Linked DNA regions of Macaca fascicularis. The protein of the gene in region 2 purifies or fractionates together with the protein of the main gene of each other region. This does not show direct contact. Links are inferred from orthologs where the notes say so. Each region holds a gene or a part of one and is shown on either strand. Other genes may lie near its edges.

Region 1 (5,946 bases), on a different chromosome or scaffold from region 2:
GGAAGGTACCTTTTGAGTTGAATGTTACATTTGCTGCAAGTAAATAGCAATTATTTTCAAAAAGACTTTACTTTTCCTGAAATTTCAGAAACAAATTTATGGCAAGGAACTGATAAGGAGAGTTTTTGCCTATCCTGCCTGAATCTATTTTCAGTTTTTCAAACTCTCCTCAGCTTCCTTCCCCCTGAAACTGTTATTATGTAGCTTAACTCTTTTCCAAGGGTGTAAACCTTGTGTCCTCATCTAGCTCTGAAACTCCTTGAAGAACATGGTGTTGTATTACATTATACATGTATACATTACAGCCATGTTTTTAAACTTGAGGTATAACATCAAAAAGGCAAAGAAGTTTAAGAATCTTGACTTCACTGTGTCCCCACAACACCTGCTGCTTGCTTACATTCAGTGAGCATACAAATAATTTTTGCTGGAAAGCCGATCAGCTCCTGCAATTGCTTTACCCTTAGTTCGCAGACTAATCAAAGAGAGTACACTTTGATAGTACACTAATCAGAGCTGTACACTAAAAAATAGTTCTGAAAAAAAGACGTCATAATAAATTCTCTCCAACTCTGTGTTTATTATGAAATATTGGCTAAGCGTCCTGAAATTTAATATTCCCCCAAGTGCTATTTAAGACCCTGTCAATTACTTAGTTTCAAAACTAAATATTTTTCAGCATGAACCTTCCACTCCAGCCAGGCTGGTCTCAGTGTTTCCACAATATGTTCTTTCCTAACTACAAGTAGTTCTCATACAAAGCCCATGGAACTTAGAGCATTCTCCTTATTTATGAGAAAAGGTCTTATTATAAGTTGCCCAAGCTGGTCTACAACTCCTGGACTCAAGCTGTCTTCCCACCTCAGCCTCCTGAGTAGCCTAGGACTACAGGCAAGCACCACGACACCCAGTTTCTCTTAACTTTTTGAGTTTAACAAATATCATGTTCCTGTTATAGGCCTGTTTCCGATGGTACTTACACATTGGTTTTAAATTTATGCAGCTGGGGCACTGGATTTTTGGCTCGCATTTCTAGCACTTCCATGTAATGAGGCTTCTTCTGAGTCCCACTAGAAAGGTCTGTCAAGTTCTTAGTACTTGCGTTTTCTTCTGACTGTTGTTCACCTTGGTCTGCAATAGTGATCCTCTGTAACCTGTCAATAAACAGGTTGTCAAAGCTGCTGGAAGTATCTTCTGCTTGACTTGAAACACGACGCTGCGGGTGATGCTCACTAGCTTCAGATGAAGACGGTACCCTGTCTCTGTTGCTGGAAGCTGGGCCCTTAATCACTGTGTACTCAACCTCTGGAGTCTCTCCATCACCTTCATGAGTAGGATGTCCAAGTCCCTGGTTTTGTGAGGTTGTTTTAGATGACTTGATATTATCTACAGAGGAACACCCAGGAACTAGTGATGAAGTATCAAGTATCGGGTCAGAATTCTGGGCCTTATCTGTACCCACATCAACTTCTGCAATTGCTTTTTGCCTTAGCTTACAGTCTAAACTAACAGGGTGAAACAGTTCACTTTTTCTTCTAACTTCTTCATGTTCTGCAACAGCAGCTTTCAGTTTGGCAACAGAGTCAAAGATCTTTTTACCTTTGTCGGGCAATTTGCAAATGAATTTTCTGTCAAATGGAAAAGAATACATACACATTACAGCCATGTTTTTAACTTGACATATAACATTAAAAAGGCAAAGCATTATCTTCAAAGAAAGAAAAGCTGATTTTTAAGTCAAATATCTGATTTCTAACTGCCCCAAAACAGGAATAAAACAAATAAAACGGTCATTATCCAAACAGCACAAAAAAACAAGGGAATGCTGGAATAGGGAATATATGCCTCATTTGTCTCAGCAAATTAGAATTTCGGCAAAAGTATTTTAAGCATGTAATAATCACATAAGACATTCTAAGAACCAGCAGTCATTAAAGTGCAATCCCCACAATTTGGGGATGGGGTGGAGTGTGGGGATGGGCCTATTATTTTAAAACTACTTTCATAATAATACTAAGATGTTATTTCCCTCTCATTTTCTCACATGGGTACGGCGGAGTTTTCCAGTGGCTACATGACATATGATGACATCATTGTTCTAGAATAGAATGTGTGCTTGTGTATGCTTATGTTTTAAAGACTTCAGCTGTATTTCTGATAAGTAAATAAACTTCACTAGACAGAACACATAAAATAGTTCTTTGGGATGTCAAAAAATCTTAAAGTATAAAGGAGTCCTGAGACCAAAAAGTTAATTCACTACTACAGATTAAAAACCTATTCTCACAAGGTAAAAACACCTGCCTTGATCCCAATCAATTATTTATTTGTCCCTTTTGCTAGATGACAGAGTTCCTTTTTTGATTCTCTTTTCTTTAATTATACAATAAATGGAGAGAAAAATCTTAGGTCCTTTGTTCTTTTTGACACTACATTCATTCCCACTATTTCAACTATTAACAACACTCTACAGCTGAAATTCCTATGTTTTCTATATTTTTCCAGAGTTCTCTCTTTCTTGAGCCTAATGACAACTTCTCCAGCTTTTAAGTGTTTGGTTTTCAATTAGTCAAATGTCTGTCCCGCTCTCCCCTCAACTCTGAACACCCTACGTAAAATCAACCACGGATCTATTCCTCTCCCTGAATATTCCTATTTTTGCTAGTGGTCTTCCATACAAATTGGAAAACTCAGCCATCTCTGTCAACTACATTTAAATGACTCTATGCCTAAAAGTTCTCCCAATCCCTTCCTAGTTCACTTTCTTACAACTGTCTCGTGGGGAGCCTCTCTGAAAATAGCCATCTACTGTCTCCCGCTTTTTATTCCTTCAAACCATCTTTTGCAACAAGCTGCTAAACAAAGCTGCCTGAAAAACAAAATCACTTTTATCACGTGGCTCCCTTGCTAAAATCCGTTAAATCAACCAGCTGACTGGGGGTTGAACTTTCCCGGCCTAATAAACGCCTCTTCATATCCCACTCTTCCCATTTCCTACGGTTCCTGTAAGCGTAGAATCCAGAGACGAAGCTGACAATTTGTTATGGGTTAGGGGTGCGGGCGACAAAAGGGTTTAGAATGAAGACTCTTGCTTCATGGAACTAACACAGTCCCCGGGCAAATAAAACCAACGAGGGGCTACTAACTGCCTGCAACAATAAGTAGCCGTTCAGTCCGAGCCATCCTCGCAGGCCTACGTGCCTGGCCAGGAAGAGGCACGGCTCTGCGACAGCAAGCCCTCCGTCCACTCGCCCGTAGGACTGAGGCGAATGTGACTGAGGCAAGGTCACCTTCCAGGGAAGGAAACAGAGTGGGGGAGGGGAGGGGAGCGCCCAGGGAGCTCGAGCTGAAGGAGCCTGGCGGAGACTCCGCGGGACCCCAGCTTACTCGTTGCGCAAAAGTCTCTCCTGGCGCTTCAACATTTCCCGCAGCTCCACCAAACTCCGCTGCCCCAAGTCCTCGAGAGCTTGGGGCTCGAAGCCGCGGGGCAGCGAGGACATTCTGCACAGGCTGAGGCTGGCGCGGCGGCGGGCACTCGGCTTCCTCGGCAGGCCCCGCTGCTAGCGCCGGATCCGCGGACTGCAGTGACTCCGGGGCTCGAGCGGGAGTCGCCATTTTCCCGGAAGAACGGGGTCTTCCTCGAGCCGAATCGAGCTTTATTGAAATGCCGGAAACAAACACGGACCGGGAGAAGGGGGCGTCCGGAGGAGCGCTAAAGGACGGAAATTACGTCGGAGGACGCCGGCGCCTGGGTTTGGCGCCCTTTCCCCTCGTGTGAGCGTTCATCCGGTTGTCAGCTGTTCATAGGTTTATACAAAAAGTATTTGGCGCCAGCGTGACCTCACCAAGCACTATGTGTTAGTCAACAAAGAGCCACGTCCTCTGTTATAGTTGGGGTTTACAGAGTTGGCGCGGGGGACGGAGGGACGGAGAATCAAATAATAATATAATAGTGACGTTGGGGTGGGCACCTGGGAAGGTATCTCTGAGAAGTGAAATACAAGTCGAAACCTGAAAGATGAGTTGGCCGTTAATAAGGTAGAGGAGAGTGCGGGACAGGATTTGGGAGACTCCGGCCTGTGTGTGGTGCCTCCTAGCTCAGCTTAGGGACGTCCTGAAATGTTAAAGTTGGAAGGTTCCTTAGAATCAGCAATTCTTTTCGGGGCTCATTGCATTTGGAGCAGGACTTCATTTGTGGCACTGCCTCAGGCATTGTTAAGACATTTGGTGTTTCTGGCTTCTGCCTGCTAGGTGCCATGGCACTCCCAAGTAATTGCAAAAATCCAAAATGTCTCCCCCAACATACATTTCCAAAGGCCCACAAGAGGTGATGAGGGAGTGGGAGCAGCTGTACAAACTGGTTGAGGACCTTTTATAATTTTCTACTTTGCCTGTAGAAAAAGAGTCATGAAAACTGAAATAAATATTCCCAGGGCACAAAACCAGTAAGTGACAGCACCAGATTTCAAACCCAAAAGCCCAGCGGCTTTTCCAACACACCAATTTGAAAATTCCCTTCTTCACTTTAGGCCTATCTCCAAATGTGCAAAATTGTTGAAAAGACTTTTTTTTTTCTTTCCCCCAGCTGTTGAGAAGAAGACAGTTTAGTAAGTATTGGACACAGCTTTTAGTTTCTTGTTATAGTTCACCTACCAGAGATGCATCCCAATGGAAACAGTAGGAAGACATGCAGTCACAGCAGATATCACTTGGGAGGTTTGAACACCCCCATAACCTCCAAAACTACTGCCCTCCCCCGATTTTTTTATATAGGAAATTGAAGTTGTCTCAATCCTATGTAAGATGCTATATTAACACAAGCAGCTCCATCCCAAAGAGACAGAAGATCTAGGTAAACTCCAAAGCTATTCCAGGGAGCACAATTGCAACCATTTTTTTATCCCCCCAATCTAGTCCATTCAGATCAGATTCATTAGTATATCAAAATAAGTTTTCTCTGTATAAGACTTGCTTTCAAGGATGTTAATAACCTGCTCCAGCATTGGCTGAATGAGAAATAGGTAAGCTCCTCGAGTCAGTTGGTTGTCTGTGGTGTCAACAAAAAAAAAAAAAAAAAAAAAAAAAAAAACTCCATAAAATATTGAAGAGATGTATTCTGTGCTAGATATGAGTGACCATGGCCCATCACACAGCCCTCAGGAGATGCTGAGAACACATGCCCAAGGCAGTCGGTGCACAGCTTGGTTTTATACATTTTAGGGAGACATGAGACATCAATCAAATACATTTAAGATAAACATTGGCTTAATCCAGAAGGGTGAGACAACTCAAAGCAGAGCAGGTGTGGGGCAAGATGGGCTTCCAAGTTATAGGTAGATTTAAATTTTTTTCTGATTGGCAGTTGATTTAAAGGAACATCTAGGTTACCATAAGAAGTGGTGGAGACCGAAGTTTTATCATATAGATGAAGCCTCCAGTTAGCAGGCTTCAGAGAAAGTAAGTTGTAAGTGTTTCTTATCAGACTTAAGGTAGATGTTGATATTAAATGCTGTGCAGCTTTTCCTGGATTCTAAAAGAAAGAAGGGCATAATGAGGCATGTCTGACCTCCCCTTCCCATCATGGCCTAAGCCAGTCTTTTAGGTTAAATTTGGAGGACCCTGGACTAGAGGAGGAAGTTCATTCAGACGGTTGAGGGGGGCCTTCAAATTTTATTTTTGGTTTACAGTGGTGAGAGCCCCACAAGCCTCCTTTGCCCCACCCTGGACCCCAGCTGGAGGCCTTTATTTCCCCCACAGTAGTGAACTCCCCAGGCGCTGATTGTGGGCCACAGGTGTCCCCAAAGCAAGGATGCCTTTCTTTCAGGCCTCAGAATTTTGCCCCCTTCTGTTACCCTTTTTTGGAAGGCTGTCTCTCCTCCCCTTGCCAATTATAAGTCTTGGCTCAAGTCTCACCTCCTCCCTGAACTTTCCTAGGTTATTCCAAAC
Region 2 (6,040 bases):
GTGATGGAAAAGAGCAAATTTGACTTGTAAATATCTAAGTATGGCATCACGTTTAATAAAAATTTATTACTCATGCACAAAGTATATGATTCCTTTTCTGAGACTGGAGTAGTTATAAGTGTAAAAAAAATAGTGGGGAAAAGGCTGCTCAGAAAAGCACCTTGAGTAATCAGAAATGTATCTGTTCAAGACTCAATTTTTAAACTCTTGTACTCTAAAAGTACTCCGTAAGTACTTTTAAAGATGGAGAATATCAATTCCTTACCATCTCCAAATTAAATACACCTATCCTCCCCACCAATTTCTCTCACCTAGTCTTGACCTCTCAAACCTCCTATTTCTAATAAGCATTTCCTTTGGGTTTCTCTGCCATTGTTTCAATGACAGAACTCAAAGGCAACTGTTTCCTCTGTTTAATATTTAATTTGTATTGAAAGTCTCCTAGTCAACCAGTCTAACTTCAGATTCTTGCTTTCCTTTGATCTTCAAATTATGCTAATACTACAAATCTTCCTCTTTTCCTTCTATCATTATTGTTGCTTAGTTCAACCAATTATCTCACACCAGAATTATTACAATAGCCTTCTTGTTGTTTGCCAGTTCACCAGGTTATTTATTTTACCCTGATAAAAACATTTGAGCTTACTCCACCACTGTCTTCAAGGTAAACCTCCAACTCAGGCTGTTTTGAAGCTTTCAACAATCTAAGTCAACTCTACTGACTTGTTTTCCACTACTCCTTCATATTTACCTAACTAGTCATAAAGTCACTTATGACTAAATGGCTTTGCCCAGGTTTTAATAATAGTAATGGAGCAATAAGTGCTCAGACGCTATACAAACGTAGATCCCAGCTCTATTAACCCAGGTAGCATTTTTCATTTTTAAATTGGATACATTCTCCTATTACAGCATTGTTGTGAGGAAGAGGAAATACACAAAATATTCAACACAGTGTCTATCTGTTCCATCCTTCAAAAACTTTTAGGCCGGGCGCGGTGGCTCAAGCCTGTAATCCCAGCACTTTGGGAGGCCCAGATGGGCGGATCACGAGGTCAGGAGATCAAGACCATCCTGGCTAACACGGTGAAATCCCGTCTCTACTAAAAAATACAAAAAACTAGCCAGGCGAGGTGGCGGGCGTCTGTAGTCCCAGCTACTGGGGAGGCTGAGGCAGGAGAATGGCTGAGGCAGGCGAATGCTCGGGAGGCGGAGCTTGCAGTGAGCTGAGATCCGGCCACTGCACTCCAGCCTGGGCGACACAGAGAGACTACGTCTCAAAAAAAAAAAAAAAACTTTTAAGATCCATTCAGTCAACAAAACTTTATGGAAAATAACTATGACAAGTACTACATTTAAACACTATAGAGACATAGTGAATGCGACATAGCTTCTGCACTCATGGTTTTCAGAGGGTAGAACAAATGTTAAAAGTTATACAAATCTGATTAGGATAAATGCTAAGAAGATTCCCTCTATTTTGGTTCACATCACTCCATATTCCAATTTACTTCAGAACCTAAAGCTGAAAATACTCAATTCATTATAACTCCCTAACCACATACTGTTTTTCCATCACTTAAATGTCTCCTGAGTATATGACATTTTTTTAACCTCCTTAAGGAGTATCTCTTTGCAAACATGATAGTGCTTATACACAGTAGGCACTCATACTAGTTATCCTAAAGGCTTTTCTCCAAAATCCAATTATCAGTACGCCTAACCTGGAGTTAAGGCCATATTCACTCTGTCCTTACTATCCTTCTAGTTACAAGACATGTATGAATATGCAAAAGTTTCCCTAAAATAAGATTTCTATCCAGCAGCATCATTACAATTTGATTTTGTAAAATCTCAAAGGAGTAGTTCCCTGAGGAAGGCTGACTGGCAGCTCAGGCAAGTCCCTGCAGGGCAGAATTTATCTTGGTGAATTCAACATTTAGAAGCTGGTCCTCTCAGCCTTAAAAACTAGTGTTATTCACCCAGGGTAGATCAGTTTATCACAAGTAGATTCACACTCTTCAAGTGTACAAAGCCTGATGTATTAAGAAAAATGCCAAGTTATTAGCTTACAGTGAGGAAAAAAAACTGGCAAAGAAACCAGGTACTTAGGTTTTCCTCTCAGCATGTTTTCTCTCTAGTCCCTTATCTAGGACGTTAAATCACAATCAGACAATGAGAAACATAACTATCAATGGAAAACTATTTAACAGAAAACTATGTAACTGGTAATGGTAATAAGTATACCCATTGCAGCAAGAGAATACCCACTGACGTCTTGGTCAACGGGATGCATATATTATGTCGGTCCCCTATGGTTATAACAACGCTGAAAAATTCTTACTGCCTAGTGACATCATAGCGGTCTGTGCTTGTGGTGACGCTGCTGTAAAGCAACCTACGGCACTGCCAGTGTATGAAAGTCTAGCACATACAATTAAGTACAGTCCATGATACTTGATAATGATACTAAATGACTTTGTTACTGGTTTATGTATTTACTGTTTCATCGTTATAATACATTGTACTTCTACTTATTAAAAAAAAAAGTTATCGCCGAAACCATGCATTTCTCAGAACATAACCCCTTCATTAAGGGCCCATGACTGTATGCGCATCCTCTGGCTTTGCTTCTGCTTTCCACTCAGGCATAGCTTGGAGGAAAAATTACCAGAAGGAACAAAGCTGGGGAGCTACCTACAAGACTTGGCCTTTAATAGAGCGTAGAATTTGGGGGAGACGTTCAAAAAGACTTGTAAGCCGGGCACGGTGGCTCACACCTGTAATCCCAGCACTCTGGCAGGCCGAGGCGGGAGAATCGCTTGAGGCCGGGAGTTCGAGACCAGCCTGGGCAACATGGTGAAACCCCGTCTCTACTAAAAATAGAAAAATCAGCCGGGCGTGGTGGAGGGCGCCTGTAATCCCAGCTACTTGTTTGGCGGAGGCGGAGGGTGCAGTGAGCCGAGATGGCACCACTGTACTCCAGCCTGGGCGACAGACACAGTCTCCAAAGTAAAAAAAAAAAAAAAAAAAAGAAAAGAAAAGAAAAAAGAAAGACTCAAATAAACGGAAAGACATACGAGAATCAGAAGATTTCCTATCATAAAGATGTCCCCAAACTGATGCATTCTGAGGGGTGGCCAAGAGACAAGAGATGGAAGGAGGCTCTGGGCCCACAGGAAGGAGCGAAGATGAAAAATCTCTCGCCTCAGCGTCGCTCCGCACCAACCTGAAAGCGCTGGTGAAGGAATACTCTCGGCTGGCATTTCATTACAAAAACCCAGTCATCCACAGCACGAGATCTCCCTTGGTGGATTCAAATTGATGAGGAAAGAAAAGAGCTCCTGCTTCTCCTCCCAACCCCCAAAAGAGAGATGTAAGCACCGCTGCCAAGAAAATAAAACTGTCCTCAGGGAATACGACAGGACCGCGCAGCCGACAAGTCTTGGCGGCCCCACCCGGACAAGAGCAATCTTCCCGGTCTCCTCAAGCGAAAGAGGCTGCTCCCTCCCGCACCTTCAAGCACCGCCCGGCAGCCGGCCTCACACCTCCGAGTTCGCGGTGGCGCCTCCCGAGAGAGCGCTTTATGCCGAAGCCCTGTTTCTCAGTCCGCTTTCCACTTCCAAGTTTTGCCTCTTGGGCCCCTTTTCTCCCTTGCTTTACCTCAGGAAAGAGAAAGACAGAGGCTAATCGAATGAAATTCCTCACCGAATTCACAGCGTCTTGAAGCTGCGTGAGCCGATCCGCCATGTTCTTCCCGCAGCAAACCGACGCCAAAACAGCTGCTCTTCCGCGACTGGGCAGCTCTGGTACGCGTCATGGCCAATCCCAGCGCTGCCTTCTTGGAAGGGGTGGGGTCGGAGAGAACTCCCCGCCCGTCAGGAGTGGGTGGTACTGCCGAGGCGGCCTTAGAGCGGGCTACACCAGAGGAGAGGCTGGATCTTTTGAGTAACTGGGGAGCGGCCTGGGGTCCATCGCTTTGAGGGGCTGAAATACTCTCTTTGAGGTTGTTAGGTGTTAAAGGCTTCAGAGATCGTTGGATTCAGCGGGGATTTTTTTTTTTTTTTAGTGATTTCTCCTATCCTCTCATGTGTTTACTTATTGACTACATTGAAGAGTAGATATATTTATTTATTTTTATTTATTTATTTATTTATTTATTTTGAGACGGAGTCTGGCTCTGTCGCCTAGGCTGGAGTGCAGTGGCGCGATCTTGGCTCACTGCCAGCTCCGTCTCCCGGGTTCACGCCATTGTCCTGCCTCAGCCTCCCGAGTAGCTGGGACTTTAGGCGCCGCCACCACGCCCGGCTAAATTTTTTTTTTTTTTTTTTTTTTTTTTTGTAGTAGAGACAGGGTTTCACCGTGTTAGCCAGGATGGTCTCCGTCTCCTGACCTCGTGATCCGCCCTCCTTGGCCTCGCAAAGTGCTGTGATTACAGGCATGAGCCACCGCGCCCAGCCAAGAAAAATCAGCTGCACAATTTAGATTTAGAGTTGGGACTTATTGAGAGCTTAAGTGTGAAGAGTGATAATAGAAACTTGGTATTTAAGGAAATTTAGCCTGAGGATAGTCTGGTAAGAAATGAGTTTGGAGTCGGCAAATAACAGGTTTGGAGACATCAAACAAACTCTCATATCCTCTTTCTCAGGCTGATTATCCGTGATTACCTTCCTGCGGCTGCGGGGTAGGTGGTGGACACAGTCCCCGGGGAACTCAGCTTGCTGGATTTATCCCAACCCTTGCTGGGAAGCACCACTTCTGCTTCACACCCATGCCCCACCCTCATCCCCAAACAGTCTACAGACTTACTGGGGCCTCATTAAGAACGTGGATGAGGCATGCTCCCCATAATGGAACTAATGAGAAATCACTCCATAATTTGTTCTAACTGTAACTTGGGGGAATCTACAACCTTTTCCTCCCACCTTCACTTGAGCGTGTACCTTACTGAATGCCTGCCACATGCCAGGAAGTATATCCAGTGCTCAGTGTGCAAAGATGAATAAGCCAAGGACTCACCAAGAGGAAGGTTTTGCAGTTGTCCAAGATTAAGGTGAGCTGGGCCTAGAATAGGGTGTTGACCCTGATAAGAGAGGAAAAAAAGACTAAAATATATTTTTGAGAAAAATAATTAATACGGATTGGTGACTGATTGAATACAGTTTAGTCCACTCCGTAAGGATACTAAGTTTTGCAGCGTGATTGAAGGGAACTTGGGCACTTGAAGTAGAGAAGTCACTTCAAGACAACTCATATTGTGACACAGTTTTTGTCCTGCCACTATCTTCCTAGTAGGTCTTCCGTGTCTCCACAGAGACCTCAGGTTGATGTCCAACTATCTCTGCCTAGTTGTCAAGATTTACTATAATCTGGCTCCAGCAAACAGACCCAGCCTCACCTCTTGATAATTTTCTGAGTGAAATAATCCTCTGTTTCAGCCAAGGGCCCTGACCCCTTGGTTTTCCTGGTTCTTCAGCCTCTTTTGGCCACGGATCTTTTTAAGAATCAGATAAAAGCTGTGGACCCTTTCCCCAGACCAGACTCTCAACTTAGCCTACATTTGAAAAGGGGTTTATGAAGCTCTTGAAGCCATAGACTTCAGGAATAACCCACCTGCCAAATATAGTCTGTGCATCTAGCTCAGGATTTCTCAATGGCCGCACTCTTGACTCTTTAGGCTAGATTATTCTTTGTTGTGGGATGCTGACCTGTGCATTGTAGGATGTTTAGCAGCATCCCTGTCCTCTACCCCGGAGATACCAGCAGCATCCCCCCAATCCATTTATGACAACATGAAGTATCTCCAGATAGTCCCAAATGTCCCCGGGGGGCAAAATTGCCCCCAACTGAGAACCACTGGTCTAGCTGTTTCCTCATTCTTTACCTTTCCCAAAGCAATTTCTTTCCTGCTATTTAATCCTTACCCTACCTTTTTAAGTTTTACACTTCTCATATAAATTTTATGAATTGCAAGAGTCCATAGGGACCTCTCCTTTCTTCCTTTCATGATTTGGACACTTTCTCATATGCTTTTTCATTT

What was found. Proteins that work in one complex are often made in the same cells at the same time.
Region 1: the proteins of MED21 (region 2) and POLR2M purify together in Homo sapiens (affinity purification with mass spectrometry; 3 studies listed by BioGRID and IntAct, with this or other methods). This does not show direct contact. The link is inferred for Macaca fascicularis from reciprocal best matches to the Homo sapiens genes MED21 and POLR2M.

The regions. Positions count from the first base shown.
Region 1 is NC_088381.1:34,164,869-34,170,814, reverse strand, and holds the start of POLR2M (protein GRINL1A), read right to left. Parts: upstream 3,630-5,946; 5' UTR 3,501-3,629; coding exon 3,388-3,500; intron 1,629-3,387; coding exon 981-1,628; intron 1-980.
Region 2 is NC_088385.1:29,774,783-29,780,822, reverse strand, and holds the start of MED21 (mediator of RNA polymerase II transcription subunit 21), read right to left. Parts: upstream 3,781-6,040; 5' UTR 3,751-3,780; coding exon 3,709-3,750; intron 1-3,708. UniProt on the Homo sapiens protein: Component of the Mediator complex, a coactivator involved in the regulated transcription of nearly all RNA polymerase II-dependent genes.